Regions from separate parts of the Mus musculus genome. Here region 1 is reported to be linked to region 2. Evidence: microRNA targets listed by miRTarBase, many of them from high-throughput screens and not tested one by one. Region 2 holds a microRNA gene; the other region holds the end of a gene's coding sequence.
The links. Region 2 holds the annotated microRNA mmu-miR-880-5p (UACUCAGAUUGAUAUGAGUCA, at 2,166-2,186, opposite strand). A microRNA usually pairs through its seed, bases 2 to 8, with sites in the 3' UTR of a target mRNA and lowers its output. Matches are read on the target gene's strand: a 7mer-m8 pairs with bases 2 to 8, a 7mer-A1 pairs with bases 2 to 7 and ends in A, and an 8mer does both.

Region 1: the mRNA of Lypd1 is a reported target of mmu-miR-880-5p. Seed matches in the 3' UTR shown: 7mer-A1 at 2,306-2,312 and 7mer-A1 at 3,287-3,293.

The regions. Positions count from the first base shown.
Region 1 is chr1:125,870,662-125,874,080 of GRCm38, reverse strand. It overlaps Lypd1 (Ly6/Plaur domain containing 1), which reads left to right. Exons shown (of 3, transcript NM_145100.4): 3 at 510-3,419. The coding sequence ends at 745. It overlaps Gpr39 (G protein-coupled receptor 39), which reads right to left. Exons shown (of 2, transcript NM_027677.2): 2 at 219-1,711. The coding sequence ends at 1,197. Among named protein-coding and RNA genes, the nearest start is that of Gm41943, 30 kb to the right of the region's middle.
Region 2 is chrX:66,798,412-66,801,830 of GRCm38, forward strand. Mir880 (microRNA 880) reads right to left here and starts at 2,196; the gene lies at 2,119-2,196. Mir463 (microRNA 463) reads right to left here and starts at 886; the gene lies at 812-886. Mir878 (microRNA 878) reads right to left here and starts at 3,174; the gene lies at 3,097-3,174.

The sequences.
Region 1 (3,419 bases), not on the chromosome of region 2:
CAAGGATGCAGAGGACTTGAGTTTAGCTCCCAACACCTCCTTAAGACAGCTCACAACTGCCTGTAACTCCAATTCCAAACGAATCCAATTCCCTCTTCTGGAATCTGAGGATACTGCACTCACATATACACATACATTGCATACATGAACATATATACATACATTGCATGTATGAACATATACACATGCATTGCACACACAGAGTGGTGAGGGGAGACTTTGATTTTAATAGCTCTTTATTCATGGACACCAGCAACTAAAATCTCTGTTGGAACAACATTCACCATAAGTTCTGTGTGTTTGGTGACCTCCATGCCCACCCAAAAGAACTCCCAGACTCCAATAAGTCTGAGAATTCTTATCCCCTGAACCATCTCCCAGATCAGGAGATAAGAGCCCTTTCTGTGGGAGGAGTTAAGGAAAGGTTATGCACTCAGATTTGGGCACAAAGAGATAGCTGGACTGCAGATCACATATGCTAACCCCACTTCTCTGGGCCTGTGTTATAGGGATCATGTACCGGAAGTCGTGTGCATCGTCAGCAGCCTGTCTCATTGCTTCAGCTGGGTACCAGTCCTTCTGTTCCCCTGGGAAACTGAACTCCGTGTGCATCAGCTGCTGCAACACCCCTCTTTGCAATGGGCCGAGGCCCAAGAAGAGAGGCAGCTCTGCCTCGGCCATCAGGCCAGGGCTTCTCACCACTCTCCTGTTCTTCCACTTAGCCCTCTGCTTGGCACACTGCTGAAGCTAAAGGAGATGCCAACCCCTGCTGCCTCACCTGTCTGGCCCTTCGTCTCTCACCTTCCCGAGTCTCTTCTGGGTGTCCTTTTATTCTGGGTAGACAAGGGAGTCTTTTTGTTCCCTCCTTTCAAGTAACGCAAGATTGCCGTGCACAAATACTTTTGTAAGCTCTGAACCAATTCATTCTGAATTTCTGTGTGTAGTTGAAGAAAAAAGCATGGAGCAGAAAGTCCAGACCCTCCCATCCCAATCTGGTTAACCACCGCCAAGGCTAGCCTGGAAGAACCAGCCCTTAGAAGTCATTGAGATACGCATCTGCCTTTCCCAAAGCCTTGAGCTTCCATTCTGTCCCAGTAGGAGTCACAGTCTATTCAGAGACTGCTGCTGCGTGAAGGTAACTTTGCTTTTGCGGGAGGGGAGAGCCAGTTTCGGCTCAAGGCTTCTGAACTTGCCATTCATACTTCCTGCTCCTGTAAACTATTTTCTGGGGTGGACCCAGCTGGTTTGGTCTCTGAGCCAGTCTGTGGTGACTCAGGACTCAAGGGCTGGGGCTTAGCCTCTCCAGGCTTGGCCTCAGTCTGAAAAGTGCTTAAGAAAACCTTGTTAGTTCTCCTGGAGGAAGAGTTACTGCGCCGGGAGGCTAGGAAGATGAGGGGGCTGCGGGCTGAGCTGGTGCTGTCCTTGGTGGAGATGAAGCGGGCACGCTGGCGTTTCTCTTGGTTGGCATGCTGCAGAGTCAGGCGGCAGCAGAGCACCTGCCAGAACACCTTCCGGAACTGCTGAGAGGACACGTTGTAGAGGAGAGGGTTGACCACAGAGCTGAGGTAGAAGAAGGTATCAGAGAAGGGCAGGAGGATCATGTATGCCCTGAAGTACGTTCTGGTCCAGTCATGTTTGGGTTTTGCTGCAGCCATGATCCGTCGGATCTGATTGGGCATCCAACACACGGCCAACGTCACCACAATCAGTCCTGGCAGGCAAGAACAGGAGAGAAAAGGAGACGGGGAGAGAAACAGCATGAGAACAAAAATAAATAAATAAAAACCCATAAAATATTAAGCCCCTTGGTTCTGTTGCTTACTGGCCGAGAAACGGTACCAATCTTTCAGCTCTGTGCTTGTCGGCTTCTTTTTGCCACTGGCAAAGGAGAATTTAATGCTGCTTCAAGCTCAGGGGACTTGGCTATGTTAAAAAGCGTTAAATGCTTTCGACAGTGTATTTATACTTACGGCTGCCTGTTAATTTTCAAAATGTTTTCATTGTTGCTCGTGTATCCAGAAAATATCTCACGTTGGCCATAACCCTGGTTTTGTCTTTTTGTTTCTAGATGAGCCCATAAGGTATAGCCATAGTAGAGGGAAACGGTAGCTGTTTTTATAAACGACTACTGAACTATGTGAGAAGACACAGTGATATTGTGAAGTCAAATGGAAGTTGTTTCATTTTGCCTAAACAAATACATTTTGTGATGCTGATTTTGCATCCAGTTTCAGGAGAAGTAAAATCAGGGACAGGTAGTCATGGAGAAGAGGTACTACTAAGCCCTGCCCCTGTGCGTGAGGCACTGAGTATCCAGACATCCATATGAATGCCCATTACATTCTGGCTTACATAAACACGGCTACTTCTAAAGTATGACAAATGAAATCACAGTACAGTGTGTGTGTGTGTGTGTGTGTGTGTGTGTGTGTGTGTGTGTGTGTAGAAAGTAGACGATATATAAATGTATGTCCCAAAAGGTATACAACCTCCATCTATATCAGCATCTCTGCTTCTTTTCAAACACTTTTGGAAGCCCCTTCCACCTTAACTTAGGAAAACAAATTGTCCCCAAACACCAAAATCTCAAAAACTCATGCCATGTACAGACAGGGGCACACCCTCCGCTTTTGTAGCACTGAGCTGCAGTGTGACTGGCCAGGAATGATGAGGCCCCACAGAAGCAGTGCTGCTCAGCCCCCACTGAGAATGGGGCATTAGCTGACTGGACACTCATTTGCATACCCGGAGCTTACATTCTGGCTCCCACTATCACATCGAATCTATAGTCTGACAAGCACCTAAAATTCACAAGACTCTGACTCTTTATTGATAAAGCAAAGAAACAGGCCTGGGGAACCTTTAGGATGTTACTTACTCCTTTTTATGAGAAGCTGAGCATCATAGCAAATGTTCCCATGAGAGGGCTGATGTTATTTAAAGCAAGAATTTGGTAGCACTGAAGAGATAGCTCAGCAGTTAAGATGTAAGTTCTGTTCCCAGCACACATCAGGTGGCTCACAATGGCCTGTCACTCCAGATGCTGGGGTGGGGGATCTCTCAGCACCTGCACTTACATGCATATCCCTCCCCATACATACATAATAAGCATATATATATATGTATGTGTATATATATATATGTATGTATATATGTATGTATATATGTATGTATATATATTTGCATTTTACAAGTACCTCTTCCCACTCTGAGCCCAATTTGCTAGGAAACTACTGGGAAATAAGAACAGGGTCCCTGCTTCCTGCTTAGGGTGTGTGGTAAATAGCTGAGTAATTAAGGACCCAGGGCAAGCAGACATGTCTATGAGCCCAAGGTTAGCCCAAGTATCCCTTGACAGTACATAACTCAGCTGCTCCCAAAGACAGACCCTCTGAACATAACCCATCTGTCAGAGGGAG
Region 2 (3,419 bases):
TTGATGTGTCTGCAAGGTTAACATTAAAGAATAAATGCCACATGAAACTCAAGAAGAATGACACATGAAACTCAAGAAGAATGAAGACTGAAGTGTGGACACTATGCCCCTCCTTAGAATTGGGAACAAAACACCCATGGAAGGAGTTACAGAGACAAAGTTTGGAGCTGAGATGAAAGGATGGACCATGTAGAGACTGCCATATCCAGGGATCCACCCCATAATCAGCATCCAAACGCTGACACCATTGCATACACTAGCAAGATTTTATTGAAAGGACCCAGATGTAGCTGTCTCTTGTGAGACTATGCCAGGGCCTAGCAAACACAGAAGTGGATGCTCACAGTCAGCTAATGGATGGATCACAGGGCTCCCAATGGAGGAGCTAGAGAAAGTACCCAAGGAGCTAAAGGGATCTGCAACCCTATAGGTGGAACAACATTATGAACTAACCAGTACCCCGGAGCTCTTGACTCTAGCTGCATATGTATCAAAAGATGGCCTAGTCAGCCATCACTGGAAAGAGAGGCCCATTGGACTTGCAAACTTTATATGCCCCAGTACAGGGGAACGCCAGGGCCAAAAAGGGGGAGTGGGTGGGTAGGGGAGTGGGGATGGGTGGGTATGGGGGACTTTTGGTATAGCATTGGAAATGTAAATGAGCTAAATACCTAATAAAAAATGGGAAAAAAAAGAATAAATGCACCTTACTAAACTTTGGTCCTTTAGATACAAATGCCAAATTAAGGCCAGCAAGCTCTAACAAGGGTTAATGCTTCTATACCACAATGATGTTCCAGGTGATGAACATAGTGAACCTTCCTCTACCTTATATGGTGTCTATCATCATTTATGTTTTACATGATGGACAACAAATTAGGTAAAGCAGGGTACATCATACCTTTAATATAAAAATGTTGCAAATGTAGCTTCCATGATCCTCTTTATCTTTTAGCAAAGTACCAATTGTACATTGTTGCTAAAACTTGACATACTTTGTGTATAATATATATACATATATGTACACACACACACACAATCTACAAATTGTCACCAAAAATTCCTCCAAGAGAATATCCTCTGATGTGTCTTCTGTTTCAATTAATGGTATTCTCTACCAAGACAATACGGGGGACTGTAATTTCACTTATATAAGTTAGAATTTCTCGTTGAAGTTATTTTTCTTCCTCCTGTAACATGCAAGTATTAAAATAATTATTAGATTTGTGTGTTCAGCAAGGAATAACTACAGAACCCATAAAAATAGAAAAAGGCCACTGGGTAGAGAGTTGTGAGAAAAGCTTACTAAAAGGGTAACAAAACACAGGTGGTATGGAAGAGGAAAGGAGACTAATGGGGGGGGGCATTGTTTAACTGTGGAGCAAGGTAAGATTCTAGGATAAGTGAGGGAGTAGGGAAGAAATGAGTATCACAACTCTGTTTTAAATATCCATATAAGAACAATATATGGTAGATACAGTGACCTGTAGTTTGCGTAGATGATTGCCAACACTGTATCTGTAAAATTAAATTCATTTTATTAATTCATATGAAGAATAAACTAAATGTTTTGCACTTTTATGCTTACATACTTGTATATATTCATAAGGTGAGTACACAAATGAAATCTTCATTAAATATTGCCTTACCCAATATGGGATATCATCTTTTATGTTTCCCAGGGTGCACAGAAAATTAGCTAAAGCAGCATACATTATATGTAAATGTTGAAATGTTGAAATCTAGCCTCTACAATCCCCTTTTTATCTTTAGCTTGCATCAAGTTACCAACTCACATGATAACTAAATGCTAGTCTAATTTGTTCATGCATCATCATGGATTCCATCAAGAACCTATCTTTTTAACATTCCTCCAGCTTCAGAAGAATGGTTTTCACTAGCATGAAAGTTAGCTGACTGCCATTTTCTCTGAACCGTAGTATTTCCCAAAAAGATCATTTTTTATCCTTCTGTAGTCTGTTCACTCATCCAAGCTATCTAAGGTGAAGTGTAATACATTGAAGCTGAAGACTGGAAAACACATCTAATATGCATGCATGTATCAACCTCACCATATCCATACATGAGACATTTACAGGTACCAAAACTGGTGATTGGTGTGCCTTACTCTACTCAGAGAGGATGGAGTAACATGCAATAGGAAGTGACTCATATCAATCTGAGTATTGCAGTGCACACAGTTTGTTCAGTGATGTCCTGTGTCTCAGCTTGATCCCACAATCTTCAGTATATTCCAGCAATTATATAAATATAGTTAGATACATCAACAATACCTTATTTATTCATAGGTTTAAAAGGACTATACTGCACTTTATCTTTCACAACTCTTCATATTCTATGATCTATAGTATTTAACTTTATACATGTATGCACTAATAAAAGTACCTTATGTTAGCACCTTTCTTTACATTATTTAACATGAGGTTCATAAGATTAAGAACAGACTGTCCAAAGAATGTTAAAGAGAATTTAAGCCATCAGATATCAAAAATTCCTCTATAAATAGGAACTTCAAGTTACCTTGGTTACATACAGAGGCCATTATATGAGTTACTTGCTGAACCTTCCTTTAAGAAAATCCATGGTCATAAGGACTTCATCTCATCAGTACCAATGTTAATATAAAAATGAGCATAATTGTATTTAAGTAGACACTGTCACAAAAGCTTCCTTCATCTCCTGCCCATTTTATTACATAGTCATCAAACCACAATGTTTGAACTCTTCTGTAATTTAGGCTTAAAATCATATTATCAAACACCTTTAGTATGTGTTTCTCATACCATAAATCCTTTTACTTGCCTTCTTCTAAGGGAAATGACTGTCAAAATAAAGAGTGGAGGTTTTATAAATGTATTCATGTACTGGGAACTGTGTTAATGTACTTTATTTTTTCTTGTCTGACTTAAAGAGATTCTTTCTGACACTAACACAACATTCCTTATGTAAAGGTAACAATATAAATACACCTAGAAACACAATATGCATGGTTCTATTTCTGTGCAGCCAAACTAACAGCAGCATTCATTTATCAGCACTGTGACCACCCAAGCCCACAACAAATGAGGAACACTGTGAGCCCTCCTCTACCCAGTGTGGTGTCATGCACTTAAGTTTCACGTGTCTTGACATCCAACTAGATAAAGCATTGCACACAACACTCTTTTCATTAACTTGCTGTATAAGAAGCCTCTATCATACACTTCAGCTTTTATCAGAGACTAAATTAAAAAAAAACATGATAACTATCCTTTGACATAATTTGTCCATCTACTTTTGAGAATAATTAATCACTCTCCTTCACCACGCTTTTACATAAAGCATGTCCTGTAACTAACTTTCCTTTTCAGTGAATAGTTATACTATCCAGAAAAATAAACAGATTGCATCTTTGTATA